4 linked regions of the Callithrix jacchus genome follow. The protein of the gene in region 1 purifies or fractionates together with the protein of each later gene. This does not show direct contact. Links are inferred from orthologs where the notes say so. Each region holds a gene or a part of one and is shown on either strand. Other genes may lie near its edges. The genes, in order: EXOSC4, DIS3L, HBS1L and EXOSC10.

Region 1 (8,222 bases):
GGTGTCTGGGAACCTGGGCTATGGGATGGTTCCCCTCACCCTCTAGTAAGTGTGTTTCACTGTGCCTAGACTATTTGCACAAACGCGGCTCATGCTGAACACCTGTGTTGCTTCTGGGAGTCTGGAATTTGGGCGTGTGCTTGGCCCAGACTGCGTATGTGACCAGCCCTCCATAAAACCCCAGGACACTGAATGTCTAAGAAGCTTCCCTGGCAGACAGCATTTCACACACACTGCCCCCGCTTCTTCCTGTGGAGTCCACCAGGAGAGGACTTGGCCAGCTCACGCGTGATTTCCTGCAGTTCATCCCATGCACTTTTTCCCTTTGCTGATTCATGAAGACAAGTCTATAGTGAGTCCTATGAGTCCTTCTAGCAAATCAATGACTCCAGAGATGTCTTGGGGATACTTCTCCCGGCCCCTGAGTTCGTATAAGCTTTAGGCCTCCGAAATTTGAATCAACCCATGTGTGTGCCCTAAGCTAGAGTACACGGGTCAGAGATCCAAAGGTGTGAGGTCGGAGTGGCCTCGTGATTCTAAACCTGGGATACTGCCAGTTTGGAGACCCTAGTTCCTGAAGGTGAACACTTCCACCAGGGAACACAGCAAAGGTTCCACTGATCTTGAAGTAGCAGCTCTCACTGGCCCACTTTAGGCTTCTTAGGCTGAAGACTGACAACGTCCTCATTGTCCTGAGTCGCTAACACCAGTGCTACACAACTAGGCCGGGCAGCCGACAGAACTCCCTAGGTGTCTAGTCTTCCTGCGTGTGGCAAGGACTGTCAATGGACAGCCGCAACAACCACCCAGTCATGGCTGGGAGTGGTGGCTCACACCTGTAATCCTAGCACTCTGTGAGGCCGAGGTGGGTGGATCACCTGAGGTTAGGAGTTCGAGGCCAGCCTGGTCAACATGGCGAAACCCCGTCTCTGCTAAAAATACATCAAATTGGCCGGGCACAGTGGCTCATACTTGTAATCCCAGCACTGTGGGAGGCTGAGGCAGGTGGATAACTTGAGGTCAGGAGTTCAAGACCAGCATGGTAAAACCCCGTCTCTACTAAAAATACAAGAAAAAGGCTAGCAGGGCATGGTGGTGACTGCCTATAATCCCAGCTACTTGGGAGGCTGAGGTAGGAGCATTGTTTGAGCCCAGGAAGTGGAGGTTGCAGTGAGCTGAGACGGTGCCACTGCACTTCAGCCTGGGTAACAGCAAGACTCCGACTCAAAAAAAAAAAAAAAAAATAGCCAGGCATGGTGGCAGGTGCCTGTAATCCCAGCTACTTGGAAGGCTAAGATACAAGAAAGACTTGAACCCAAGAGGTGGATGGCATAGTAGGCTGATGTGGCACCACCTGGGCTGCTCCACAGTAAGCAGTGTCTGTCTGCAGAGCAGAGGGTGGGAAATCGGGGGTGCCCAGTGGCAGAGGATGGTGACCCATCATGGCCTCAGACCAGCTGCAGTAGGGCTGTGACTCACTCACTCACTCGAATGCCTCTGTCTTTCAGGAGAGCAGAACCACCTCGAGGGGATGCTGTGACTACTGAAATTGGGCACCTGTAGCAGACTGCATTGCCCTAGCTCACCTGCTCTTCTTAGTGTCATGCTGACACTCATACCACTGAAGGGTGGGGTCCAGGTCCCTGCAGGGTCCAGTCCTACAGGGTTCTGTGAGTCCCTCTTGGCTGGTGTGGAGACAAGAAATTGTAGAAATAAAAGACACAAGACACAGAGATAGAGAAAAGAGAGTTTGGGCCCAGGGGTCCACTGCTACCCAGGTCGTGGAGACCAGCAGTGGCCCCGAATGCCAGACGGGACACTCTCACTTTTATTGAGTTGCAAATCTGGGGGCAAGGTAGGTAGGATGTGGCGGCCTTGGTGGTCAGAGACTGGGGGCAGGGTGGATAGTACGTGGCAGTGATAGGGTCAAGTACATCATGTGTCATTCAGGTAGAGGCTCAGGAATTTCTGGCCCCCAAAGTGAGGCAAGAAGCATAATTCATCAGCGTCTTTTCCATACTTACCAAGAAAGAACTAAAACATTAAGATTTATATGACTGTTACTGATTATCTTTCCTAAGAAAAAAAGAAGCCAGGTGCAGAAGCAGAACATGAGAGTGGACCTGGTATGTGACCGCTGAAGCACAGCATCACACAGAGAGAGTTAAGCCCCTGATGTCTGTGGGCCTCCTGGCAACTGTCAGGCGTTACCACAAGAGCTTGGAGAAGTGGAGTTTTCTCCTAACTTCCCCAGGAAGGAGACATCTCAGCCATCTTGGACATCTCCTTCCCTAGCTGGCTAAACAGTGGGCGCTTTCACAGCACTGGAGCTGCCGCACGGCCGAGGTGCCCTCCAGCAGCCCTTCCTAGGCGTGACAGAGGGCTTAGAGCATCTTGCCTTAGTGTCATTCATTTCACAATGTCACCCCAGGTTCACACTTCCGACCTGATAGGCATTAGTAAAAGAATTAAGATCACCTATAAATAACTAAGATCACCTATGAATAACTAATAACTACTATGGTTATATTTCTAGTTACTTTCTTCTTCATTATTTATATGGAAATAGGCTGAGGTATTTCGCTCCTGCCTTGGCGGTCATAGATCCCCATCCCTTAAGCCTGGGCAGACTTGTCTGACTGACTTGACCCCAGAGTCTGGCAAGAGTGGCACTATATGACTTCTGAGCTAGGTCATAAAAATACCACACACGTCGCCCACCTTGTTGTCTTGGAAGGCTACCCTTGGAACCCAACTGCCATACTGCAAGGAAGCCTCGGTTGCATGTAGAAGCCACATGTAGGTGTGCTGCCTAACAGCCACACGTGAGGTCCTGGCCCGCCACCAGCATCAGTCACCGAAGATATGAGGGAGAAAACTTTGAGGATGGCTCCAGCCCCAGCCACCATCTAGCAGGAACTGCAGGAGAGATCCTAAATGCAAACTACCTAGCTGAGCCTAGGTAACACCAGACTGCAGAACATCATAAAATAATCATGTTATTCGAAGCCACTGAGGTTAGGTGGCAAGAGATAAACAGACATACAACGCCTCTTTGGAAAGGATGAGGAATCAGCATCCTCAAAGGGAAACGGGAGGCCCACTTGACTGCAGTGTGGGAGCTCGGTGTAACGGAGGGCAAGGGAGGAATGGAGGTGCCAGGTGTGGACCATGCTGGGACACCAGCCCGGTCACCTTCCTAGGACCCCTCAATGCCTTCTCTTCTCCTGTCAGTCAATGCTGCAACCACTAAGTTCATCCTTCCACTTTCACACTTACAGTGCGGGGAAGGCTGAATAATGCAGGCACCATTGGTCCCGAGGGCGTGGCTTCGGAATTCCTCCTTCAGCGGGCGCCCACTTCTTGGCACCCGTGGCACAGCTCCGGGAACGGCCGCGGGCCTAGCCCCCGCTTCCCCGACAGAGCCGCTGCAGCTCCCCGGAGACAGAAGCAGAGCCGGACCGCCGAAAACCGTAGATCCTGGGAGGTCGGGGCCGCGGGTAGCTGTAGTTTCCCGGGACCGGAAGTGGCAACGGACCGCCGGAAATCTTAGATCCGGGGACCTCGGGGCGGCGGTTAGCTGTAGTTTCCCGGGACCAGAAGTGGCAACGGACCGCCGAAAACCATAGATCCGGGGAAGTCGGGGCCGCGGGGAGTTGCAGTTCCGCGGACCCGGAAGTGACAGAGGACCACCGGAAACCGTAGATCCGGGGAAGTCGTAGCCGCCTGGAGCTCTAGTTCTCCAGTTCTCCAGCGGCTCAGAGAACTAAGCCGAGAGGGAGTTGGCGGCCGGGCGGAATGGCGGGGCTGGAGCTCTTATCGGACCAGGGCTACCGGGTGGACGGGCGGCGCGCCGGGGAGCTGCGCAAAATCCAGGCGCGGATGGGCGTGTTCGCGCAGGCTGACGGCTCGGCCTACATCGAGCAGGGCAACACCAAGGCGCTGGCGGTGGTCTACGGCCCGCACGAGGCGAGTGGGAGGGGAAATCGTGCGGTCGCGGAGCCGCAGGGCAGCCGGGCTGAGCACAGGCTCAGGGACTTGAGGGGCAACGGCCGGCGCGCCTCCGACCACACAGCCGATGCTCAGCACCGCATGTCACTCGGAGTAAACGCAAGTCCTTAGTGCACTGAGCGGTGGTCCTGCCTTTCTCATCGGCTTGTCCCTGCGCCCTCCCTTCTCTTTGCGGCTCTTCAGCTCCCCCACTCGCCCCGTCACCTCTCAGCTCTACTCCGACGTCACTCCTCCCCAGACAACCTTATCCACGCGGTACTTCCCCTCCCTACAATAAACCCTTCCTTGTCTTTTGTGCACCTACGATCTCAAACGCCTGTTTTGCTTAAGCACGTTCACCTTTGTTTCCTTGCTGGAACATAAGCTTCCTAAAGACAGGAACTTTACATGAAACTCTATGGTTTCACTGCGGTTCCCAGCGCTGTAACAGTGCCTGGCCAGCAAAGGTATTGAAAATGTGCTTAGCGCATGGCTGTGGGAGCTCTGCTTTCTAGGCGCAGGGAAGCACGAGGGCGAAGACCACGGGGGTGAAAACAAGCATAGCACTTAGGCAGAGCAGAAAGACTGCTGGTGGGGAAAGGGGGTAACTCCAAATTAAAGTAGAGTGTTTCCGGGGAGGTGAGGACTTGGGATTTTGTAGACCAGGGAAAGGATTTGGGATTTTATTTCACATGTAATGTAACGCCTTCGTAAGTTAATTAGGATTTGAGTGTGTACGTGAGATAGAATCAGCCTTGATGTTTGTAAACTTGGGCTGGAAGGGAATGGGACAAGGATGGACACAAAGCAGCCAACTAAAAGATGCATGCCAGGAGGAAAAACGAGCAAAACAGGGGGCTTTGTTTTGGAGGTAAAGTAGTTGCCTCTTGCTGAGGCCTTGAAAGTGAAAGGAGAGGCAGACCCCCAGAGTACAGTGGAGTGTGAGCTGGAAGAAGTGGGCCTGGCTCATGTGTCCATCTTCTTCCAGATCCGGGGCTCGCGGGCTCGAGCCCTGCCAGACAGGGCCCTAGTGAACTGTCAATATAGTTCAGCGACCTTCAGCACCGGTGAGCGCAAGCGACGGCCACATGGGGACCGTAAGTCCTGTGAGATGGGCCTACAACTCCGCCAGACTTTCGAAGCAGCCATCCTCACACAGCTGCACCCACGCTCCCAGATTGATATCTATGTGCAGGTGAGCCGGCTGCAGCCTGCAATCCAGGGAGGGAAGAGTGTGATGGGATTGAGGAGGGAGTCTGATGAACTGACACCCTGGGGTCCTCGCAGGTGCTACAGGCAGATGGTGGGACTTACGCAGCGTGTGTGAATGCAGCCACGCTGGCAGTGCTGGATGCTGGCATACCCATGAGAGACTTTGTGTGTGCGTGCTCAGCTGGCTTCGTGGACGGCACAGCCCTGGCAGACCTCAGCCATGTGGAGGAAGCAGCTGGTGGCCCCCAGCTGGCCCTGGCCCTGCTGCCAGCTTCAGGCCAGATTGCGCTGCTTGAGATGGATGCCCGGCTGCATGAGGACCACCTGGAGCAGGTGTTGGAGGCTGCTGCCCAGGCTGCTCAAGATGTGCACATCCTCTTGGACCGAGTTGTCCGGCAGCATGTGCGTGAGGCCTCTATCTTGCTGGGGGATTGACCACCCTGCCACCCATGTCCAGAATAAAACCCTCCTCCGCCCACACACTCCTCACTGTACTTTGATCACCCAACAGCACTTTGGAGCTATGTGAAGCCCTGCAGAGCCTGGCCTGGTACTGGCTACTGGGAATGACCAGGGACCCTCTTATATAGAGAACTGTCTATCTCTGTATATCCTGATTGAAACCCTGAAGAGAACAGTGGATTAGGGGGTTGAGGAGAGATAGTTCCTGGGTGGAAAAAGCAGCATGTCCCAGTAAGGACTCAAGGCAGCTGAGTAAGAGGCAGGGCCTGGCAAGATGAGCCAGGCCATTAGACTGAGGAATCTATTCTTACTCCAGCACATCGGGAGCCCTGAGCAAAGGGCTGAGGAAAAACTCAGCTGGCTCTGGGTACCCACCCTAGAGATGTGGGTAGCCATGTCCCACAGCCTGTGGACTATGGCTTGGAACCCCTTGGGCTTTTCCTGCTGCTTACCCTGGACTCTAAAAGTACAAAAGCCAGGCATAGTGGCTTACACCTGTAATCCCAGAATTTTGGGAAGCTGAGGCAGATGGATTGCTTCAGGTCAGGAATTTGAGACTAGCCTGGCCAACATGGCAAAATCCCATCTCTACTGCAAATACAAAAATTAGCTGAGGTGGTAACACACACCTGTATAATCCCAGCTACTTGGGAGGCAGAGGCAGGAAAATCTCTTGAACCTGGGAAGTGGAGGTTGCAGTGAGCCGAGATCGTGCCACTGCACTCCAGCCTGGGCAATAGGGCAAGACTCCATCTAAAAAAATAAAAGTACAAAAAACGTGTTCTCATGGATCAGTAGAGGTCAGGAGTTCGAGACCAGCCTAGCCAACATGGTGAAACCCCATCTCTACCAAAGATATAAAAATTAGTGTGATAGTGGGCACCTGTAGCCCCAGGTACTTGGGAGCCTGAGGCAAGAGAATTGCTTGAACTGGGAGGCCAAACCCCACACCAGAGGTTGCACCACTGGACTCCAGCCTGGGTGACAGAGCAAGACTTTGTCTTACACACACACAAAAAAACCTGTTCTCATATGGAGTCTTCAGCTTTGACTCTTTCTGCCCACCACATTTTTGTTTGTTGAGACATGGTCTTGGTCTGTCACTCAGGCTGGAGTGCAGTGGTGTGATCACGGCTCACTACAGCCTCGACCTCCCAGGCTCAAGCAATCCTCCCCCTTTAGCCTCCTGAGTAACTGAGCTGAGACTAGAGGCATGCCCCACTCCACCTGGCTAGTTTTAAAAGCTTTTTTGTAGAGACTAGGTCTCACTTTGTTGTCCAGGCTGGTCTCAAGGGATCCTCCCACCTCAGCTTCCCAAACTGCACCCTCTTCTTGAGCAAACTCCGCCTTCATCCACCTCTGACCCACAGATCTGGCCAAGCCCTGACTACCCGCTCCTGCAGTCTGGACCCTGGGGCTGCTTCTCCCCTAATATTCCAAGGGTCTCCTGGCACAGACAGGGATGGTATGCTCCCCACTTTATGCTGCGCACACCCCAGCTCCAGTAGTGCCATCAGCATCTTTGCAGTCATCTGACTCGAAACCTTGGTGCTGGGCTCACGCTGTGACTCCACTGGGACGTCCTGAGTCACTAACATGCTTGGCATCCGGCCTTCCACCCCCTGCCCGGCTCATCGCCTCTGACTCCTGCGGGCCTTCCAGCCGTCCCCTGACCAGCTCGGGCATCTCTGCTCTTCACGGCCGTAGGGCCACCCGCCTGCCTCCGGGTCGGTGCACTCCCGGTCCGACTCTCCTGGAGGCAGCGCCCAGCGAACTCGGAAACCCGCCTTCACCAGCACAGCCAATGCTCCGGCCGACCGCTGCTCTGGGCTTGCGCGCCGGCCGTAGAGCGTTGGGGGCGCGCCCTGTGCTCTGGGCATGCGCGCCGCCGCGGGCGTCGCTGGGACCGGAAGTGCGGGCGAGCGCGCGTCCCCGGGTCTGACAGGAGTCGCCTACGGGCGCCGCGGCGGCAGTCGGAGGCGCGAGAGGGCTAGTAGCCGCGCCGCCCTGCCCAGCCATGGGCCTCCTGTCGGACCCGGTGCGCCGGCGCGCGCTCGCCCGCCTCGTGCTGCGCCTCAACGCGCCGCTGTGGTGAGGGCAGGGTCCGGGGAGGCGGGGACCCGCGGGCCCCGGACTCGCGCGGTCCCCATCGAGGGCCGGGACCCCTCCGGCTGCTCGCGCCCCTCCGCTCCTGCCCCCTAGAAGCACCGAGGGTGTCCGGCGCAGGCTCAGCTCTCCCGTCCGGCGTCCCGATGCCGGACTCTGGGTCTAAGTCTCGGACCCGCGCGGTCTTCCCCGGGTGCGGAGATTGGCTCGGGCCGGCGCCCCAGGACCCACTGACGCTTCGGTGCCCCTCCGTCCTCTCCCACAGCGTGCTGAGCTACTTGGCGGGCATCGCCTGGTTCTTGGCGCTCGCTTTCCCGCCGCTGACCCAGCGCACTTACATGTCGGAGAACGCCATGGGCTCCACCATGGTGGAGGAGCAGTTTGCGGGCGGAGACCGTGCCCGGGCTTTTGCCCGGGACTTCGCCGCCCACCGCAGGAAGTCGGGGTGAGCG
Region 2 (7,619 bases), on another chromosome or scaffold:
ACGGTGAGTGAAGCTCAGGAAGTTCTGCTCACTGAATACACCTTCAAAGCAGCAGGCCAGCAGTTCCTAGTCAGGAGTTTCTGTAGTAGTACCATGATGAAGAATCAGCACCTTCTGACCGTGTTTCTCTGTGCTTTTATTAAATACAGAATTACCTGGACAATTTCTGGCCTGATTTAAAAGCTGCCCGCGAACTTTGTGATTCTATCCTTCAGTCTCGACGGGAGAGAGAGAATGAGAGTCAGGAGAGCCATGGGAAGGAGTATCCAGAACATCTTCCCCTGGAAGTGTTGGAAGCTGGGATTAAATCTGGACGCTATATCCAGGTGAGGGTGCTAATTTAGAATGAGTCAGGGCTGGGAGTGGTGGCTCATGCCTATAATCCTAACACTCTGGCTAAGGCTGGTAGATCACTTGAGCCCAAGAGTTGGAGACTAGACTGGGTAACATAGTGAGACCCTGTCTCTACAAAAAGTTTTAAAATTAGCCAGGTGTAGTGGTATGCACCTATAGTCCCAGATTACTCGGGAGGCTGAGGCAGGAGGATCACTTCAACCTGGATGGTTGAGGGAGCCATGATTGTGCCACTGTACTCCAGCCTGGGCAACAGTGAGAACCTGTCTCAAGGAAAAAAAAAAAAAAAGAATTTGTCAGGACCAGCCAGTGTGTTTTCTTCTCTTTTTACTGTCTGCTGTCACAGGCCTCTGATTTCACAGACTGCAAACAAGATGGGCATGAGTCAGGGCTGTTGATGTTTCAGGTGACTTGGGAGTCATTCTTTCTGTGGACGCTGCTTGTCCAGCTTGAAGTCACCCTACGATGAAGTCCTCAATTCTGTTATATGTTGAGCATCACACAAGCAGAATGTGGAGGCAGCCTGGTAAATGCCTCCTGTCACTAGGAAAAAACACATCTTTTTCAGTCAAGGTCTGGAGGTTTGGCGATATTGTAAAATTGGTGACGTTTAGCTCCTTTCCTCCTTTGCCATTTTCTCTCTGCCCCTTTCAAGGGCCTCTCTCTGATCCTCCCAGGATCCTAACCCAAATGCTGTCAGGGTCTTGGGACGCAATCAGATACAATTTTTCTTCAGATTTCAAGTTTTATATACACTCATTTATGTGTGCATGTGTGTGTAGCCCTGTGCAGTTTTATCACATGCGTAGGTATGTGTATCCACCACCACAATCAAGATACAGAACGGTTCCTTCATGGATTTTACATTTCTAATGAGCAACTCAATAGATTGTCAGTCACAATCTAAGAACAGCACTCCAAAGCCCCTCCCTGAAAGTGTGGGGATTTTAAATGAGTATGCCTAGAGAGGCTAATGCTGCCAACTTGGTAGTAAAGTTTATAGCATTCCTGGGAGGAGATTTTAAGATAGAAGATTTTTAAAAGACTGCTCATCAGTTACATTAGATAGAGCCTGGTGCATTCAGCACTTTGTATAGCTAAGAGTAGTTCAAAATGATGGTATTTTTCTCTGGAGAAAATAAATCTTAGTGATTGATATTATTCCTAGCCAGGCATGGTGGCTCACGCCTGTAATCCCAGCACTTTGGAAGGCCGAGGTGGATCACAAGGTCAGGAGTTCAAGACCAGCCTGGCCAACATGGTGATACCCTGTCTCTATTAAAAGTACAAAAAATTAGCTGGGCATAGTGGTGCATGCTTGTAATTCCAGCTACTTGGGAGGCTGAGGCAGGAGAATTACTTGAACCCAGGAGGCAGCGGTTACAGTGAGCTGAGATGGTGACAGAGCAAGACTGTCTTGAAAATATATATTAGAAAAAAAAAAGGGCCAGGCGCGGTGGCACACACCTATAATCCCAGCACTTCGGGGAGGCCGAGGCAGGTGGATCATGAGATCAAGAGATCGAGACCATCCTGGTCAACAAGGTGAAACCCCGTCTCTACTAAAAATACAAAAATTAGCTGGGCATGGTGGTGTGCGCCTGTAGTCCCAGCTACTCGGGAGGCTGAGGCAGGAAAATTGTTTGAACCCAGGAGGCGGAGGTTGCGGTGAGCCGAGATTATGCCATTGCACTCCAGTCTGGGTAACAACGGCGAAACTCCGTCTCAAAAAAAAAAAAAAGATATATATTTTTTTCCTAAAGAATTATATATATATAATTTTATATATAAATAAATAATTATATATTTATATATAATTTTATATATAAATAAATAATTATATATTTATATATAATTTTATATATAAATAAATAATTATATATTTATATATAATTTTATATATAAATAAATAATTATATATTTATATATAATATGTATATAAATTATTTTATATATATATATAAAATTTCTAAAGGGATCACAAACCTTAAAAGAATATTATGGGGATGTTTTCACATCATTTTAAAAAACTGGACCTTTCGGAGATAAACCAGGCAGAAAAAAACATTTTTCACATTGATTTTTTATTTTTATTTTAGGGAATTCTGAATGTCAACAAACACAGAGCCCAAATGGAAGCTTTTGTTCGACTTCAAGGAGCCAGCAGCAAAGATTCAGGTTCAGTATAAACCTTACATAAATTTCCATACCACTCTTTTGTTCTGACATTATACAATGAAGAAAGCAAAGTTGAAATTGTCATGTCAGATGTGCCCTGTCCTGTATGCGTATATACACTGTGTATGTGGGATTATGGGGGGTTTTCCCCTAGTTGTTTTTTTTTTCCTATAATTTCTGATTTTATCATATTAAATTTAAACTACAATACAGAGAGGCAAAGTAATTTGCCCAGGGTCACACACCTGGTAAGTGGTGGAGCTGAACTTGTGGTGGTAGCCCAGGCAGTTTGGATGTGATTTTAAAATATTACTTTGTGCTGCTTCAATGCGATATATTACTTTAGTGGAATAATTTTTTTTAAGTAATAAAAATGAAAAAAATATGTAAATAAGTTGTATCATAATCAGGTGTCGTTCTTAGTTTTGTAATAACAGGGTGAGAAAGAAACCGTGCTAGTCAAAGGAGCATGGCTGGGTTGAGGGAGAATGAGCAGCTGGCTTTCTTTCTTTTTTTTTTTGAAGACAGTTTCGCTCTTGTTACCCAGGCTGGAGTGCAAGGGCGCGATCTCAGCTCACCGCAACCTCCACCTCCTGGGTTCAGGCAATTCTCCTGCCTCAGCCTCCCGAGTAGCTGGGATTACAGGCACGCGCCACTATGCCCAGCTAATTTTTTGTATGTTTAGTAGAGACGAGGTTTCACTATGTTGACCAGGATGGTCTCGATCTTTTGACCTTGTGATCAACCTGCCTCGGCCTCCCAAAGTGCTGGGATTACAGGCATGAGCCACTGTGCCCGGCGAGCAACTGGCTTCCTATGGGCCTTTGCTAGTCAGAATTCTCCCTGTCGGTTCTGCCTTATTTATAGTTCCTCAGCCCACTGACCACTCCCTTGGCTGTGTAGGATCCTGAAGGTATTGGGCAGAATTCCAGCATAGGCTCACATAATTGCATGCAGGGAACTAACACCTTTTTAAAAGGTGGTGAGGTAGGGGGGAGTGTTTTTTAAAGGATGATTGAGGGTGGCACTTAGGAAAGCTCATTATACAGTATGACACCGTGCCAGCAATTCTTCATTCCTAGCCTGCAGAACGAAAGAAGTTTGACTTTACCTTTGAAAGGAAGAAGCTTTATTTGCAGAAGTGCTGATTACACTTGGAATATATTATGCACTGAATGCCTCACTGGTGTGACATTCCCCTAGCTTTATGGATTTTTTTCTCTGCTGTCCCAAACACAGATTTAGTCAGTGACATCCTAATCCACGGGATGAAGGCTCGAAACCGCTCGATTCATGGGGATGTGGTAGTTGTGGAGCTGCTCCCTAAAAATGAATGGAAAGGAAGGACCACAGCCCTGTGTGAGAATGACAGTGACGACAAAGCCTGGGGCGAATCCCCAACTGAGCCCATGCCTACGGGTGAGCCCGCTGGAGAGCCACTCCGGTGTCCATTTTTCTTGTGGAATTATATTTTTCTTCTCTTTAGCAAGCCAGAAATACTGCCTTTATTTAATTCATTAATTAATTTAAATGGACAAATAAAAACTATGTATATTTATTGTATATCACATGATGTTTTGATGTAATACATTGGAGAATGGCTAGACTGAGCTAATTAACCTCTGTATTAACCTCACACACTGTGTGGTGAAAACACTTAAGATCTACTCTCTCAGTGATTTTCAAGAATACAGTACATTGTTATTTTTTTTTTTTTTTTTTTTTAATTTTTTATTAGATTTTAGGTTTTGGGGTACATGAGCAGAGCATGCAAGACAGTTGCGTAGGAACACACATGGCAGTGTGCTTTTCTTTCCTTCTCCCCTTCACCCACATTTGGCATTTCTCCCCAGGCTATCCCTCCCCACCTCCCCCTCCCACTGGCCCTCCCCTTTTCCCCCCAATAGACCCCAGTGTTTAGTATTCCCCTTTCTGTGTCCATGTGTTCTCATTTTTCATCACCCGCCTATGAGTGAGAATATGCGGTGTTTCATTTTCTGTTCTTGTGTCAGTTTGCTGAGGATGACGTTCTCCAGATTCATCCATGTCCCTACAAACGACACAAACTCATCATTTCTGATTGCTGCATAATATTCCATGGTGTATATGTGCCACATTTTTCCAATCCAGTCTATCATCAATGGGCATTTTGGTTGATTCCAGGTCTTTGCAATTGTAAACAGTGCTGCAATGAACATTCGTGTACATGTGTCCTTATAGTAGAACGATTTATAGTCTTTTGGATATATACCCAGTAATGGGATTGCTGGGTCAAATGGAATATCTATTTCTAAGGCCTTGAGGAATCGCCACACTGTCTTCCACAATGGTTGAACTAATTTACACTCCCACCAACAGTGTAAAAGTGTTCCTTTTTCTCCACATCCTCTCCAGCATCTGTTGTCTCCAGATTTTTTAATGATCGCCATTCTAACTGGCATGAGATGGTATCTCAATGTGGTTTTGATTTGCATCTCTCTGATGACCAGTGACGATGAGCATTTTTTCATATGATTGTTGGCCTCATATATGTCTTCTTTCGTAAAGTGTCTGTTCATATCCTTTGCCCACTTTTGAATGGGCTTGTTTGTTTTTTTCCTGTAAATCCGTTTGAGTTCTTTGTAAATTCTGGATATCAGCCCTTTGTCAGATGGGTAAACTGCAAAGATTTTTTCCCATTCTGTTGGTTGCCGATCCACTCTAGAGTACATTGTTACTAACTATAGTCACAGGTTGTAGAATAATAGTTTCTAACATGAGATATAGTCTCTGCCCCTCCATCAGTTTCGCCTCTCTGCAGGTTTATTTCATCTCATCAGCACCCAAACGTGCTGTAATGGCTTCCATCTTAAAATCAAACCAAAAATCCTCTCTGGGTCCCATGTCCCTTTGAGCTACCGCCTCTTATCATGAAAGTATGGTTAACTCCATGTTTTCTCTTCCTCCCTGCTGGTCTCTCACACCTGCCATTGCGACATCTCCCAACCCCTACTCTCCATTCAAATTGTTCTTTTCAAGGTCACCAGTGATCCCATTGCCAGAGCACTGGTCGGCCCCCATCAGCTGGAACGGTCAGCAGCATTTGGCTAGAGTGCTTCTGCCTTGCCTTGGACTTCTCTCAGTTCTCCCACCCACTGGCTGCTCTTCTCACATCCTCTCCTGGCTCTCCATCTCATTGTCCTCTTGGACGTGCAAGGGACCCATGTTGAATCCCCTGTTCTCTGCACTCCCTTCCCTCGGGGATCTCCTGCAGTCATTTGATTTTGTATCTCCAGCCCTTCTTCAGCTTCCGGTCTTGTGTACTCAGTGGTCTATTTGACATCTGCCCCTGGATGTCTAATGGCATCTCATACTTAACGTGTCCCATGCAGACTCCTGATTTTACCCCCAGACCTGCTCTTCCCAGTGTGTTCCCCAGTCTCAGTAAAGGTCAAATTCATCAACCCAAGACACCTTGGGGTTATCATTTCACTGATCAGCAAATGCTGGCAGCTCCAACTCTAATGCGTGGCCTGAATTCAGCCACCTGCCACACTTCCCCCACAGCTCTCCCACTTCAGTCCACTGTGACCTCAGGACTATCTCAGCAGCCTCCTGGCTGTTCTCCCTGCTCCTACCCTTCCCCCTCCTGGTGTAGTCTTTTCTCCACTCAGAGGCACAATGATCCTTGAGAAAGTGAGTTGGGGAGCCAGGTGTGGTGGCTCACACCTGTAATCCCAGCAGTTTGGGAGGCCGAGGTAGATGGATCACTTGAGGTCAGGAGTTGGAGACCATCCTGGCCAATATGGTGAAACCCTATCTCTACTAAAAATTAGCCAGGCGCAGTGACGCACGCCTGTAGTCCCAGCTACTCGAGAGGCTGAGGTGGGAGAATCACTTGAACCCAGGAGGCAGAGGTTGCAGTGAGCCGAGATGGCGCCGCTGAACTCCAGCCTGGGCAAGAGAGTGAGATTCTCTCTCAAAAAAAAGAAAAAAAAAGGAAAGCGAGAGTTGGCTCCTGTCATTTCTCTGCTCAAAACTCTTCAATGGCTGCTTCCTGCTTCACTCAGAATAAAATCCAAAGTCCTTACCGTGGCCTACAGGGTCCCCCCAGCTAAGGCCACCTTCTGCCATTTTCTCCTTTTTCCTTCTGCTTCAGCTGCACCTATGACTTGTTCTTTCCACCACCTGGATCCAGCTTTTCCCCAACACCCTCACATCTGTTTTCCTCACTTCACTGAAGTCACTTTATTTAAAGTTGCTGCCGCTTCTGACCCTCTGTCACTCTTGGTCACCTTACCCTACCTTGTTTCTTCTTAGCAACTGCCACAGCTTCACTTTTTTCGGTCTATTTTCTACCCCCACAGATACCCAAACTGATTTTATATAAACCGCATGAAATCAGGGACTTTGCATGTTATGATGCTGCTATATTCCCTATACCCAGAACAAAATCTTATACCTGGTTGGAGTTCAATATTTGTGGAAAAAAAGGAAAAAGATACCACTTTTAACGATTAAAGTTTGGTCTCAGCTTCAGTCAGTGATAATTGAAAATGTTGTGCATGAGTCTTATGATCTGTTTACTTTGCTATGGATAATGGGTCAAATGGTGAAGGCAAGAAAGACTGCAAATGCGCAGTGGAGGGCATGGTTTAAAACAAGGGTGAGAATCACTGACTTTTCCCAATATACTAAAATTTGAGACTGATAAGATAATGGCAAAAGAGAGAAAATGGGACGAGTGGATTATAAATGTTATCTCAGGCCCCATGGAAGAGACAGCATACTGACAATGTTATTTTAAAAGTTACCCATCGGCCAGGTGCGGTGGCTCAAGTCTGTAATCCCAGCACGTTGGGGGCGCCGAGGTGGGCTGATCACGAGGTCAAGAGATTGAGACCATCCTGGCCAACATGGTGAAACCCTTTCTCTACTAAAAATACAAAAAAAATTAGCTGGGTGTGGTGGCGTGTGCCTGTAGTCCCAGCTACCCGGGAGGCTGAGGCAGAATTGCTTGAACCTGGGAGGCAGAGGTTACAGTGAGCAGAGATCGCGTCACTGCACTCCAGCCTGGCAACAGAGCAAGACTCTGTCTTAAAAAAAAA
Region 3 (7,619 bases), on another chromosome or scaffold:
TTGCATTTATTAAAAAATAAGTTAACTGTAAAACAGCCTCAAGCAGATCCTTCAGGAGGTATCCAGAAGAAGGCATTGTTATCACAGGAGATGGCAGCTTCATGCACGTTATTGCCCCTGAAGACCTTCCAGTGGGACAAGATGTGGAGGTGGAAGACAGTGATATTGATGATCCTGATCCTGTGTAGGCCTAGGCTAATGTGCATATTTGTGTCTTTGTTTTTCACCAAAAAAAAGTTTAAAAAGTAAAAAAAAAAAAAAAAATTTAAAAAGCTTACGGGATAAGGCTATACAGAAAGAAAATATTTTTGTACAGCTATACAATATGTTTTTGCTTTAAGCTAAGTGTTAGAAAAGAGTCAGAAAGTTTAAAAATTTTAAAGTTTATAAAGTAAAAAAAGCTACAGTAAGCTAAGGTTAATTTATTATGAAAGAAAAATATATTATTGAATAAATTTAGTGTCCCCTGAGTGTACAGTGTTTGTAAAGTATACAGTAGTGTGTAGTAATGTCCTAGGGCTTCACATTCACTCACCGCTCACTCACCAAATCATCCAGAGCAACTTCCAGTCCTGCAAGCTCAATTCATGGTAAATGCCCCATACAGGTGGATCATCTTTTATCTTTTATGCCCTATTTTTACTGTACCTTTTCTATAATATGCTTAGATCAGTTTAGATACACAATTACCACTGTGCTACAACTGCTGACAGTATTCAATACAGGAATATGTTAAACATGTTTGCAGCCTTGAAGCTACAGGCTCCACATAGTCTAGGTGTATAATAGATGTTACCATCCAGGTTTGTGTAAATTACACTAATATGTCCACAAATGAAGCTGCCTAACAACTAATTTCTCAGAAATATCCTTATCATTAAAGGATGCATGACTGCAAATTATATTTGATTTTTTGTAGCATTCTTACTAAGAATCATGTAATTTACAAATTGTAATGCTTTTTAATACTATTAAAGGAAGTAAATAAACCACTGGGTAAAAATACCCAAGCTTCATTATTTCTGCATAAATAAGCTCTTTAAAAAGATACAGGACTTGAATATATCGAAAGACATAAGGCAGATTTTGAAATATTCATGCCAACTTATCAATAAAGGAAATATGAAGCTATACCTCAAGTCCTTTACCATTCCTTTTACAATAAAGAAATTCATAGCTTTTATACATAGTTTCTTTGTAAGAAATTTAACAAGATTTTACAAAGTACAGGTAAAAAGATCATGAAAAATACAATATTGCTGTTTTCTTGTTCAAACTTGATAAAGGTTAAAACTTTCCATTTTAAAATATTTTAAAAGTTAAAATCCTAGAATTGTAACCTCAGCATTAGGAAATTTTATAAAGTACAGTCAGTACACTATTGTGAAGAAAATATTAGTTACCTGGGCTGCTCCTGTAATCATATTTGGAATGAAGTCCTTATGGCCTGGAGCATCCATTAATGTAATAACTTTGGTTGTGGTTTCAAACTTGGTCATACCAACATCCATGGTTACTCCCCTTAAACAAAACATAAAATGGTTAGAACGTACTATGTAATAGTGCTATAGAGTAAATTAATAATAGTCTACATGATTATCTAAATTCTTAGGTAAAAATGGAAATTTTATTTATAGACCATTATTTTTGAAAAATTAAATTATCAATCAGGGCTGGAATGTCTGGTATCATAGAAGTGCATTCATATGGCTTTAACAACATGAAGTTGTGTTCGCAGTAAGAGCTCAATAAAAATGATAGTTATGCCCTCTTACCTTATTTTTTTTTGTAAGAAATAGTGTAAACTGTGAACAAAGAAACATATATGGGGACAACTCTAAATGGGGGAAAAATACTGCACATGAGAAAAGATAAATGAAAAATTACCATTACCAAGAGGTAATTTTCTTCATGTTCTATGCTTATGCTTCACTAGTTATAGAAATGAGCTTCTAAAACTTTCATTTGCAAGGCTGGTCAGTATGTTACATATTTAGAAAACACAAGATATCAAAGCAGATGCTTAATTTTCAAGAAACGGAGAGACATGAACAGCAGACTGCTTTTTATCCTATTTAATTCTTCTTGTAGACCAACACAGTGCCTTTTTCAGCCACAAAAAAATATAGATTCAGATTAGTGAAATGCTTGGGATTAGAAGTTTTTCAAATTTCACATTTGTTTGGATTTGGAATATTTGCATATACATAATGAGATATCTAAGGGATGGGACCCAAGTCTAAACACAAAATTCATTTATGTTCCATATACACATTATACACATAGCCTGAAGGGACTCTTATGCAACATTTTTAGTCGTTTTGTGTGACCTGTCATATGAGATCAGATGTAGAATGTGCCACTTGCGATGTCATGCCAACACTCAAAATGTTTCAGATTTTTGAGCATTTTGAATTTCAGATTTTCAGATTAGGGATCCTCAGCCTGTATAAGAGGCCTAAGGAGGTCTACAGGGACACTCAGTCATTCTAGGCCTCAGACATTTAGATGGGGAAATCATGCAGGCAATAAACGAGGTCTGCCCCCGAATCATCCAAAGTAATGAATAATAGTACTCCCTTTTACTACCAAAAGAGTACAACAATTAGAATAACAAACTATAGGTTTGCCCTAGCAATAAAGTAACTGTGGGTCTCCTTAGTCAAGACATTTGAGTTTAACCTGAAAGCCTGGGCCATCCAAGTTTGACAAAGTGATGCTTAATTCTCTTTAATAATTCCCAATAATCCAAGCACCACGGGCACCTTCAGAATAATGGCGAACTAAGACTTACTCCGAGATCCTCTGTAGACTGACCTGAGTATACTCTGCTGACCCAGCTCTGATTTCAATTTGTAACCCTAAGGATATGAAATGTCATTGCAACCCAAAGGATATGAAATTTACTCATTTCTGTTCTTCAGTATCTGAGAAGAACAAGGGATTTACAAATATTTAACATGGTGGGATAAGCAACATATTACATTTTGTAAATGCTATTAAGGAACATATGGTGGTGAGCTAAAACTCCCATTATATACCTGAAAGCATCTGCTGTCTATGGAATGAAGAAATATTCTAAAACTTATGCTGAGCAATAAAGAACCAGCAGCAGCAAAAATATGAAAACCAATCAATAGATAACATTATCAAAAAAGCTAAAATGACTGACCATTGTAGGATTCAAATCAATTATTAGTTCACTTGCCAGCTCAACTAAGATACTAGGTAACTTAGTTAACTTCAAGTGAACCATTCTAACTTAAATATACTGTTCTCAATGTCTTTACCTACTTATTAGATAACGCAGAGAAAACTAAAAAACTACATACTTTAATAATGTGCTTGTTAAACTGACAGGTGAAAATTATTTAGGCTTCTAATATTGTATCATATACAATTCCATTGTTTTCCATAATTGGCAACTGTCCAGCTAATTTTTCTTACTAGGATAGAAAACAGGCCTGTGATACTATATAGAATTAAAGACACCCGCAAAGAAAGAGAAAACATTATGATACAAATTCTGGTTTACCAGAAGAGGTAAGGAATACTGTGACCTGCTCTACAGAGCATTATCTCATATATTATAATGGATACTATGCAAGACTGCAAGAAAATACATATTAAAAAGGCATGAATATCCAGATACATTCTCCAATAATCAGACTGAAGACATCAGGGAACACAGTTTAATCTCCTTGCTAATTTAAGACTTTCACAGGACTTGGTTTGTAAATAGTTATTATTTTGACACAGTTGATATATCTGCCATGACATTATCAAGGTGTCCTTTGGCTCTCCCACCCTAGCATGATATATACTGTCACTCTAAATATACTTCAAAAGAAATACTATTCTTTGGCCAGAGTATATTAGTAGCTGCATATTCCTATTAGAATCTCCCCAAAATTAGCACTTAACACAGTAACAGAGAAAGATAAGTAACTGACTGCATTATAGCTACAGAATTACTTGTTTGCTGTCTCACAAAAACAGAATATATAAAGTATAAAAATGAATTATTTAGTAATTTGAATTTGCTGGTTACTTAGATTCTAGACAAAAGAGGTTTTACTACAGTTACATTTCCTTTGTAAGCTGACATGAAATTAAAAGTCTTACTTTTAATTCAAAATCAAGACAATTTGACATGTACTTAAGGAAGTAACAACTGAAACTTATCCCATAGAATAATTAGCTTATGATTTTTACTGTTTTTTTTTCTGCATGGCTTTTGTTTTACTTTGTTTCTGACAAACATTCTTTTAATCTATTTCCATAAAGTTTCGAGGAGTAAAAACAGTATGTAGATTTTCCCTGATATTTAAAAGCTATTTTCTAAAAATAGTCTCTAACGTATTTCATATGTTTTACAAATTTGAGACATATTATACACTTATTTTAGAAGACTATATGACTTCAAACTGAAAATTACAAAATATAGTGACTACCTTTCCCTTTCTTCGCCAGTCTCATCCAAGACCCATGCATATGCAAACGAAGCTTTGCCAGCCTTTTTAGACTCCTGTTCATACTTATGCATAGTTCTTTTGTTTACATTACCCAGAAGATAAAGCATATGGCCCATCAGAGTACTTTTCCCAGCATCAACATGACCTAAAGAAAATTGATTCAGGATTAATACCAGGTACATTTCCAGACGTTCACACTGAGGCATTGCATACATGTATAACTCACTATTTCATGTCAGTGGTTTACAGTAATAATGCCAGTATTTATCAAATGACAGTTAAAACATCTAAATAGAAAAAAAAAGAGCAAGTCTCTTTACAGAGGGGGTAAGTTTCTCAGATTTTTGGAAATTAAAATTGTCAACAAGACATGCCAATTTCAAAATGTTCACAAAACAAAAAATCCCACAACCAAGTGTAATGACTTCTTCGGTAACTTGGCATTCTCTCTCCTCAGGTGACTAGAAAGCATTATGAGGCCGTGCCTCCTCGCTTTCTGTCCATTCCACCTATCGAGAACTCGGAATTTCCATGCGGCCACAAGACAGTGGGCAGGGTAAGGCATGGAGGCTGACGATCCAGAGGGACAAAGGGCATTACCAATGACCACTAAGTTGAGGAGCTGCTTCCCTCCTTGCCGCTTCTCCAGTTCCACCTTCACATCTATTTGCTGTCTCAGCTTGCCAGACTTTCTCATTGATGCTGGGGCTAAACTCTGCTCTTCTGAGGCTTGAATCATGTGGGGTGGATTAGCAGATTTAGAAGCAGTCTCAAGAACATCAGAAGCAGCAATGCTGACATCTTCACTGGGCGGTCCCTTTTGAGGTGTGTGGAAACTATGACCATTTTCTTCAGAAGTTACTCTACAGAAGGCAGACAGGAAAAAAGCATTTTAAACCAACTCGACTGATGTTCTATAATGTCAGAAGGGCAGAAAAACTGTTTCTTCATAATTCTTTATACTCCAGACCAAAAATAATCTCTGCTAAGTAGCTAGAGTCTGTTAAGGTGGAAATGATAAGTAGCTAGACTCAAACCACACAAATACAGATGTGGAAGATCCCAAGAGAAAAACAGTGTACCAAAAAATGAAGGTATGAAGAAAATATCTTTAAAAATAACTGAAATTCAAAATCTAAGCCTTGGCGATATAATCCATCCTATCAAAATCAATGGTATAAAGGGGATATTTTGTAAAAATGGCACCAAATATATTACTGGAGTAGAATTAGTACTAAAATATAGTTTTACCCCAACTCATCCTTCCAACATGATAAACTTATGATCCTTTTTATTATCCCCCTCAGGGGAGATATCTCTAAATGACTACAGTTCATAAACATTTTTGACAGTGGAGCTTTAATTAATTAATTCAACAAACACCCGATTTACTAAAAACTACAACATATACTAGGGACTGATGTTGAAAAGAAAATGACATAGAAATGAAAAAGCTAACTACCACTCCCAAAAGATTACAATCTAGTGAGGAACTCAGATATGTAAAGGAGAAACAAGACTATCCAGCTTAACTTATTCTTTCCTTGAAAGAATATAAAATCCTTAGAACAATAACTTGTGTATTCTATGTATTTCCTCTCTCTCCCTCGATGGAAAAATCCCATAACAGAATTAAATGGCATTCAAGATTAAGGAAAAAAAGGTCAATTATTCTGATAACCCAATCCTAATTCAGAAGGAAAAAAGACATACATGAAGATTTTTGAGACTGAATCAGAATTCTAAATTATTTTAACAGGTGATAAAAATTAAATTAAATTTTTCATTCATCCAATCATTCAATTAATGTATACTGAATGTGTACTATGTCTTAGAGAAGGAGTCCTTTCCTTCACTGACTTTGAAATCTATAAAATCCAAAAATTGAACTAGGTGATGATTAACATTCTTCCCAACCAAAACTCATGATACCGCACTAATTTAGATAAAAGAATATTGTAAGGGAAAAAAATAAGGCTCCTGAGTTTGTGTTTCTTAAAAAATATAATTTTGGAAAAGGGAGAAAAGAAAGAAAAAAAAGGATATAAAAATCTATTGTTTATAGTAAAAACCTATTGTTTATATTTGATAACAATGTTTCTTTATCAATTTGGCAGACAAAATACATATAATTTATAAGTAACAGCTTTATTGAACAACTGAAAATTCTGAAAAATTTTAGAACTTGAAAATTAATGGCTTCAAAGCAACTCACTTCCCTTGTCTTTAAGAACTCCTGGAAGGATTCTAGAGACTGTGATGAGAACAAACACGAGCTACCAAGGTGTGGTGACTTCCATTTTCACAAGATATTTGAAATTCCAGGTGTGTTTCATATCATCTGTTTGCCACAATGATCCAATTCATTCAATATGAAAATTCAAAAGAGTTTAAAAATATTTCAGTCATTAGAAAATTTAACTAATGATTCCATGATTTGCTGACTCATTCTGAAGTCTGGTTACCTGTGCCACCTAGCGGTATAAGAATTCCCTATCTGACGGTGCCAGGTTTCACCAAATCAGATTTTTTTTTATGTTAAAGTAGCTATAAAATATTTATGTGAGAAAATTGATGGTGAGGTAGGATAAGTAATACACATACGTAAGGCCAGAATCAAGCCTAATTTCTCCTTTTGTCTCTTTGTACTATGTTATACGGAGGATATATGATACTTCAATGCTAATGACACATTATGCAAAATTGAAAGTCTCTTTCTTACAGACTAATAGGAGACAATCCGTGAGGTTGGGGGTGGACATGGGGGCGGGGGTGACGGAGGTACTCAAGTCTTACCCAGGCACTTCAAATCCCATAGTTTGCTTCTTTCCAGATACAGTCATTTTGGCAACTTTCGGCACAATTTCAGATTCACTTCGCGATGACTGGGAATCTACTGGTTTTCCTAATTAAGGAGTAAAATATAAAAGGCCAATTAATTAATTTCTTTAGTAATATACAGAAATCTATTACATACTATTTTAAATTATAGATTATAATTTTCACAGAATTCATGTCTTTATAAACATACTATCTTTTCTCTAAAAAAACTTTGTGAGATATTAAAGCTGAAAGAAATTCTGTCTCTTTAATCTAGGAAATCCCCTATTGTCAGGACTCTCCAATGCTTAACCTCCACCAAAT
Region 4 (7,605 bases), on another chromosome or scaffold:
GTACTTCTAGGCCGGGCATGGTGGCTCACACCTGTAATCCCAGCACTTTGGGAGGCTGAGGTGGACGGATCATCTGAGGTCGGGAGTTCGAGACCAGCCTGACCAACATGGAGAAACCCCATCTCTACTAAAAATACAAAATTAGCCAGGCATGGTAGCGCATGCCTGTAATCCCAGCTGCTTGAGAGGCTGAGGCAGGAGAATTGCTTGTCCCCAGAAGGCGGAGGTTGCAGTGAGATTATGCCATTGCACTCCAGACTGGGCAACAAGAGCGAAACTTCGTCTCAAAAAAAAAAAGGACTTGTGTACTTAGGTTAACATGCCCTATATCACCTCGTGAAAAGTAAGACTTAGGTGGCTGACTTTGGAGGGTTTTGTTGGTTATATTTGCTTTCATTATAGATCAGCAACCGTTGGAAGCTGGCTCAGATACAAGTGCAAAAAGAGTCTAAGGAAACTGACAAGAAGAAGGCAGCTGAACAAACAGGTAGCATTCACTTCCCTGTCACTCAGTCGGCTGCTAAGGGACGGCTGTTTCAGCCAAGTGCCAGATTCAGCCGCGAGTGAAATCGGCACAGCCCTGCCCTGTTGGGCTTCCCTTCTGCTGAGGGATGGTGGGCACTCAGTGTTCCTCCCATCATATGGCAGCAGGTGCTGTGTAGATTGACTGTGGAGAGTGCTGGGGGTGCTGTAGCTATGTCCTGACGGTGGCTGGAGAAGGCAGTCTAATGAATGCGACACTGAAGACACCTGAGCAACCTAGCGAAGAGTGTTCTGGAGCCACAGCACAGCGAGCCCAGAAGCCCTGGGGTAGTTCACTGGGCATGCTCAGCAGCAGCAAGTGGGCCACAGGAGCAGAACAGGAGAAGAGCAGGAGATGGGGAAGGAGCCAGCAGGGGCCCACAGGATGACACTGCCTATTACTCCGAGTTCAGAAGCCAGGAGGGGGCTGTGGCCCTCTGGCCACTGTGTTGAGAGTAGACTAGAAAGGAAAGGACAAGAGCCCGGGAAGGGGTAGGAGACGCGACAGTGACCCAGGTGACGGGATGATGGCTTTGAGACCAGCATGGGAGCAGGGGAGGTGGTGAGAAGCAGTCAGAGCCTGGATCTGGCCTGTAGCAAAGCTGACAGCATTTGATGATGAGGTGGATGTGGCATGTGAGAGAAAGGAGTGAGCCTTGGGTGACGGTTTTGTCCTGAGCAGCTGGAAAGCTGGAGTCGCTGGCAGCCAAAGTAGCTGGTTTGAGTGGACATGTCCATAATGGAGACGATCCTATTAAACACCCTCAGGTCCACAGGCCACTGAGCATTCGGGTTCACAGGAGAGGATTAGGCAGGGCTGGGGAGGATCAGCTCACGTGTAGGTGAAGGTGGGCAGAGCACTGCAGCCTCAGTCCCAGGCAGCCTGTCCTGTAGAGGTTGGGGGACCAGGGAGCTGAGAGGGACGGGGGATCAGCTGTGACAAGCCCTGTGGCTAGGCTGAGTTGGAGGAGGATGGAGATGGAGGAGGGTGGTTGCTGGATTCAGCAACTCCAGAGACAGTTCTGTCCCTTACAGCTGCCCGGGAGCAGGCGAAGGAAGCATGCGGGGCTGTAGCAGAGCAGGCCATCTCCGTCCGACAGCAGGCCGCGGTACGTGCCAGCTTTTCTCTCCTTTTTCCTTTGAGAAACGATGCCCCTGCTTATGGACAGGGTCTTCCTCAGGTGTCTTAGGGGCTTGCCCTGTGCTTTATATTAAGTGCTGCCTTCTTTCCAGGTCACTTAGCTTAGCCATTAGGGTCCACCTCATTTCCAAAACCTCCACAGTGCTGATACTGTAATTCCTGTTACCCTTCTTCCTCTGCGTTTGTGGTAAATATGCCAGACCACTCAACTATAGTAGTAGTAGAAAAGGCACTGAAGTTACAGCATTGAAGCCTGTGTGTCCCGCTCTACCCTACAAAATGTTTGTTTTTTTTTTGTTTTTTGAAGTAGGGTCTACCTCTGTTACACAGGCTGGAGTGCAGTGGCACAGTCATAGCTCACTGCAGCCTCAAACTCCTGAGCTCAAAGATCCTCCCACCTCAGCCACCTAAGTAGCTAGGACCACGGGCACACACCACCATGCCCAGCTATCTTTTGTTATTGTTTTTGGTGGAGACGGTCTCACAGTGTTGCCCAGGCTGTCACTCAAATTCTTAACCCCTGCCCCCTGCCTTTTCTTTCTTTCTTTTTTTTTTTTTTTTTTCCATTTACTTTTTTTAAAAATAGTGACATGGGAGTACAGTGGTGTGATTATTGCAGCCTTGTACTCCTGGGCTCAAGCAATCCTCCCACCTTGGCCTCCCAGGTAGCTAGAACTACAAGCATGCACCACCTTGCCTGGCTAGCTTTTCTTCATTTTTTTATAGAGACAGGTCTTGCTGTGTTGCCCAGGCTGGTCTCAGACTCCTGGCCTAAAGCAGTCCTCCTACCTCAGCCACCCAAAGCACTGGAATTATAGGCGTGAGCCACTGCACCTGACCTGCTTGTCTTTCTTAAATGACCTCATGTCATTGTCCAGTGAGGAATTTGTTTCAACTAACCCTGAGTGTTGGTCTGGATGTCCAGCCACTACTCTTCTCCCACCACTGACTATTCTTTTTTTTTTTTAAGACAAAGTCTTTATCTGTCGCCAGGCTAGACTGCAGTGGCACAATCTCGGCTCACTGCAACCTCCGACTCCTGGGTTCAAGCAGTTCTCCTGCCTCAGCCTTCTAAGTAGCTGGGACATAGGCATGCGCCACCACACCTAGCTAATTTTTTGTATTTTTAGTAGAGAAGGGGTTTCACCACATTGGCCGGGATGGTCTCGATCTCTTGACCTCTTGATCTACCCACCTCAGCCTCCCAAAGTGCTGGGATTATAGGTGTGAGCCTATACGTGGGCCCAGCCACTGACTGTTCTTCTAACCACTTAGGCAGCTGGGTCCTGGCTACTGCTGAGGCCAGGGGGGTTCCCTCTCCCATGCGCCTCCCTATTCCTCACCCACATGTGTTCCTGGTCTATAGCTAGAAAATGCTGCGAAGAAGAGAGAGCGAACAACAAGTGACCCAAGGACCCCAGAACAGAAACAGGAGAAGAAACGACTCAAAATTTCCAAGAAGCCAAAGGACCCAGGGCCACCAGAAAAAGATTTTACACCTTACGACTACAGCCAGTCAGACTTCAAGGCTTTTGCTGGTGAGGAAGTTCTGGGGCCCATACAGGGACATCTGCATGCATCAGGTGGGAGGAGACACAGAGTATAGAGACCGCAACACAGTGGCCGAGTCAGTCCTGCACAGGGCGTGGCATTAGCCAGGAATTATTGGAGTGGTCCAGAGGGGCCATGGCAATGTGGAAAGATGCCTGCAGCCCCATCACCACCTCCTTCACAGGAACTCACTGTCAGGGTGGCCTCTGTGGTGGGTTAGCAAGATCACCTGTCACTTCCATTGGGACCAGCACTCCATCCTTCCTCACTGTAACTCGTGCCCAGAAAAACACACACACACACACACACACAAAACACATGGTAAAGATTTTGTTTGTTGAAAAATCTCAATGCCTATGACATGAAGCCCTAGGGCTGCTTGGGCTGTAAGAGTCCGCCTGCTTTGAAGGGGCTGCAGATGGCATTCCCGGCTCCAGCAGCTTCCAGAGCAACATGCAATGTTGCTTTATACAGGAGTGTCGCCTCGGAGCCCAAGTTCCTGATGGTGTCACCCAGCACAGAGATCAGAATGCATTTCCTTACATGCAGGGGCCACTGCTCTAGCCACCTGTCCCTAACGTCCTAGGACTAGAGCCAAGAGAAGCAGGCATGGTCTTCGGACTGCCTGCAGGGACCAGGATCACCATGTGTTCATTTACATGAGCCACAAGCCCCTCATCGTAATGGGTGTTGCGCTCTGACAGCCAAGGCTTCCCCAAGTGTCGTGGTCCCAGCCTCGCTGTGAGCCTGTGATGTGTGGTAACCCACTGACCTGACTGCAGGGCTCTCTCATCTCTTACCCTGCAGGAATAAGCAAATCCAAAGCTTCTTCCCAGTTTGATCCAAACAAACAGACCCTGTCTGGCAAGGTAAGAACTGTTCCTGGAGGATTTGAGCACACCGGTAGCACCTATTTTTGATCTCTTCCCCTGCTGAGAAGACAGGCCCATCTAGGAATCTATTTCTTTGCATATCTTTTTTCTCACCTCATTTCTTCCCAAGTGCAGACATACCCATCAACTACCCCAGCAACTCATAAAATGAGGTCGTAAAAGCTGCTGTGTGGTTTTAAAGGTATTATTTGTGTTTCCTACCATGGGAACTATAGCTGCAGGCCAAAAGCACCCCGTTTGGGGCCAGCACAAGCCTGCATTCGCCCCACGTGGGTGTTGGTGCCGCTGGCAGGCAGACAGTGTGGACGCAGGTTCCACATGTGGGAGGCAGGGCTGCTTGAGGCCCTCCTGTTCCTCTTGCTGCACATCTGAGCAGCCTTGCCTTCAGAAACACAGAAATGTCCCTCTTGCCGGGAATCAAAAGTCACACCTCTGCTGCTAGAATCTTTGGCTGCCTGAGCCCAGGCGTGTTTTTCTGCATGTCTTATGGTCCTGGTGGCACCCAGCTTCAATGTTTCTTATCTTTTCAGAAATGTATTGCAGCCAAAAAAATTAAACAGTCATTGGGAAACAAAAGCATGTCCTTTCCAACTGGAAAATCAGACAGGTATGTGGTGGACAGCTGCGTGGCCCAGGGAGCCCAATGAGAGAGCACCTGCTGTGTGTGGTGCTGGATAGCTGCACAGCCCAGGTTGCCCAGTGAGAGAGCACCTGTCGTGCATGGTGCTGTTGGTGGGGAGCAGTTGAGGAGCCACTGCCCAGGGGCTTCAACAGGAAGACTCAGAGAAACTCCCACAGCCAGGTCCCCCTCGACACTCCGATAACAAGGGCAGGAGGTGATTAGCTCTGTGCTACACATCACGTCTGCAGGCACTGCGCCCCAGGACACAGATTCCCCTTGTGCCTGGCTCTCCAGTTACTGTTTCCTGGAGTCACTCTGTGAAAATAGACATGAATAGTTGTGAAATTTTCCTGGACCAGCCTGTTAGGAATGAGGAAAAAGTAAGCATGTGTGGGTTATCCTTGTTGAAGAGTGGTTTGGTCTCTCTTGTGGCAGTCTCACTCTGTCTCCCTGGCTGGAGTGCAGTTGTAGCCTCCTGGGTTTAAGCAAGTCTCTTAACTCAGCCTCCCAAGCAGCTGGGATTTCAGGTGCCTGCCACCATGCCGGGCTAATGTTTTTGTATTTTTAGTAGAGATGGGGTTTTGCCTTGTTGGCTGGGCTGGTCTCAAACTCCTGGCCTCAGTTGATCCTCCCGCCTCAGCCTCCGAGAGTACTGGGATTACAGGAATGAGCCACTGCACTCGTCCAAATGTTTTTGTTAAAAGCATAACATCCTAATAAGCCAATGCTGAGCTCAGGGGACTTGCCCAAGGGCAGGAAGGACAGGTCTGTGTCCTTTAGATGTTGCTCAGCTCAGCCAACTCTGGTGGGCCGCTGAGGTCCCTGAGACCCCTGAACAAACCATTCTCCCCCGTTCTGCATGATTAAGGTTTGCACCATCTTGTAAACCATCTGAGAACGTCCAACCAACCCAGAAGAAATAACTGTTTTTTTTGTACTGTCTCTGCAGAGGCTTCAGGTACAACTGGCCACAGAGATAGTCCTGGAAGACACGTGGCGCCCACGGAGCAGAAGCACCAGATGTCGGTGCTGCTTTTGTACAGACGTATTTTTAAACCATTAAAAAAAAATTCTTCCTGGAAGAAAGTTGATTCCTGATTTTTATTTTGCTGCCGCCACAGCTCTGTCAGGAAGGATAGATCCCCATCCTGTTTAGGCAATCATCTTCAGGTGTCTGGGCAGGTAAGTGCCCTGGGGTTACCATGACTTCCAGAGAATGCAGAGCCACACCCAAGGAGGAATACGAGACAAATTCCTGGGACTCAGAAGCAGGCAGCACCTGCAGAGCACAGGGTGTGGTGGTCATCCGCCTCCACTTTTAGGGGGTTCTCTGGGCCGTTTCACTTCCTTCTCAAGCCTTCAGGTATCGTGAATGGAGCCAACTGGTAAAAAATGCCATTGGGAAAGGAACTGGTAAGGTACTCTAGCATCAGCCATGGCTCCTGAGGACCTGTTCTCTAGTCTGTTCCTTTCACACCTTTTTTTTTAAATCAACTTTGTTTCTTTTCTGATTATAGAAGTAACAACATGTTCATTGCAAGAAATGTTGGAAATACAGAAGATCGCAAGGCCAGTCCCAGTGGCTCACTCCTGTAATCCCAGCACTTTGGGAGGCCAAGTTGGGTGGTTCACAAGGTCAAGAAATCGAGACCATCCTGGTCAACATGGTGAAATCCCGTCTCTACTAAAAATAGAAAAATTAGCTGGGCATGGTGGTGTGTGCCTATAGTCCCAGCTACTTAGGAGGCTGGGGCAGGAGAATCCGTTGAACGCAGGAGGCAGGGGTTGCAGTAAGCCGAGATCGCGCCACTGCACTCCAGCCTGGTGACAAAGTGAGGCTCCGTCTCAAAGAAAATGCGAAGAGAAAATTTTAATCGTCGATAGTCCCACCACACCAAGGTGCTCTTTTTTTTTTTTTTTTTCCTTTTTTTGAGACAGGGTCTCACTGTTGCCCAGTCTGGAGTTCAGTGTTGTGATCTCGGCTCACTGCAGCCTTGTCCTCTCAGGCTCAAGTGAACCTGCCACCTCAGCCTCCCACGCAGCTGAGACAACAGGCACATGCCACCACACCTGAGTAGTTTTTCTTATGTTTTAGAGACAGGTTCTGGCTGTGTTGCCCAGGCCAGTGTTGAACTCCTGGCCTCAAGTGATCCTCACGTCTTGACCTCCCAGTGTTGGGATTTCAGGCATGAGCCACTACACCTGGATGAGATAATCTTTAACATTTTGCTTTATTTCCTTATAAGCTTTTGCTGTGTGTATATAGATGTATTTTTAAATTTACAAACGACTTTATGTTTCTATTATTTTTCACCTTAAAGTTTATATTATGAGACTTTTCTCAATGTAAAATTTATTTTTGTCAACCCCTATGTTAAACATTTAGGTTTTCATTTTCAGTACTATTCTTAATAATGCAGCAGTGAACTTCTTATATAAATCTGTGACCCAATCTCTGATTATTTCTTTGGAATTTCATGTTATTTTAATCCTGAGATGGGCTGTTAAATCAAGAAAGCACAGAATGCCATTATTTTTTTACAAATACTTAAACTAAGAACCGTTTTTCTTTGAAATCCATCCCACAAATTATTGAGATTGCCAACTGTATATAATACCCTTTGGGGTGTACCAAGCTAAATCACAAATCGCTGCTGTCAGAGAGCTCTCAGTCAAGCAGAACAGGACAGGACACCCCTGTCCTAAGATAGGCTTGAGTTTGTATTAGCTAGGACTGGACTGGTTGAAAGTGACAGAAAAGCCAAACTATTAGTAACTTAACAAGAGAGATGATTTTCCGCTTTTTTAAATATAGTTGGTCCAGAGCTAGTATGATGCTCATGATCATCAAACACAGGCTGCTATCCTGTTTTACT

Evidence for each region.
Region 2: the proteins of EXOSC4 (region 1) and DIS3L purify together in Homo sapiens (affinity purification with mass spectrometry; 5 studies listed by BioGRID and IntAct, with this or other methods). This does not show direct contact. The link is inferred for Callithrix jacchus from reciprocal best matches to the Homo sapiens genes EXOSC4 and DIS3L.
Region 3: the proteins of EXOSC4 (region 1) and HBS1L purify together in Homo sapiens (affinity purification with mass spectrometry; 3 studies listed by BioGRID and IntAct, with this or other methods). This does not show direct contact. The link is inferred for Callithrix jacchus from reciprocal best matches to the Homo sapiens genes EXOSC4 and HBS1L.
Region 4: the proteins of EXOSC4 (region 1) and EXOSC10 purify together in Homo sapiens (affinity purification with mass spectrometry; 9 studies listed by BioGRID and IntAct, with this or other methods). This does not show direct contact. The link is inferred for Callithrix jacchus from reciprocal best matches to the Homo sapiens genes EXOSC4 and EXOSC10.

What each region holds. Positions count from the first base shown.
Region 1 is NC_133517.1:53,540,553-53,548,774, reverse strand, and holds EXOSC4 (exosome complex component RRP41), read left to right. Parts: upstream 1-3,683; 5' UTR 3,684-3,798; coding exon 3,799-3,969; intron 3,970-4,978; coding exon 4,979-5,185; intron 5,186-5,277; coding exon 5,278-5,604; coding exon of another isoform or gene 5,605-5,637; exon of another isoform or gene 5,638-5,680; intron 5,681-7,034; coding exon 7,035-7,172; 3' UTR 7,173-7,331; downstream 7,332-8,222. Other genes in the region: GPI-anchor transamidase component GPAA1, read left to right, coding at 7,682-7,755, 8,036-8,215. UniProt on the Homo sapiens protein: Non-catalytic component of the RNA exosome complex which has 3'->5' exoribonuclease activity and participates in a multitude of cellular RNA processing and degradation events.
Region 2 is NC_133509.1:13,358,969-13,366,587, forward strand, and holds part of DIS3L (DIS3-like exonuclease 1), read left to right. Parts: intron 1-149; coding exon 150-326; intron 327-2,453; coding exon 2,454-2,532; intron 2,533-3,771; coding exon 3,772-3,951; intron 3,952-7,619. UniProt on the Homo sapiens protein: Catalytic component of the RNA exosome complex which has 3'->5' exoribonuclease activity and participates in a multitude of cellular RNA processing and degradation events.
Region 3 is NC_133505.1:141,712,052-141,719,670, forward strand, and holds part of HBS1L (HBS1-like protein), read right to left. Parts: intron 7,381-7,619; coding exon 7,272-7,380; intron 5,339-7,271; coding exon 5,076-5,338; intron 4,621-5,075; coding exon 4,455-4,620; intron 1,522-4,454; coding exon 1,404-1,521; intron 1-1,403. UniProt on the Homo sapiens protein: GTPase component of the Pelota-HBS1L complex, a complex that recognizes stalled ribosomes and triggers the No-Go Decay (NGD) pathway.
Region 4 is NC_133508.1:48,941,677-48,949,281, reverse strand, and holds the end of EXOSC10 (exosome complex component 10), read left to right. Parts: intron 1-402; coding exon 403-487; intron 488-648; exon of another isoform or gene 649-1,557; coding exon 1,558-1,631; intron 1,632-3,029; coding exon 3,030-3,201; intron 3,202-4,021; coding exon 4,022-4,083; intron 4,084-4,637; coding exon 4,638-4,714; intron 4,715-5,678; coding exon 5,679-5,709; 3' UTR 5,710-5,815; downstream 5,816-7,605. UniProt on the Homo sapiens protein: Catalytic component of the RNA exosome complex which has 3'->5' exoribonuclease activity and participates in a multitude of cellular RNA processing and degradation events.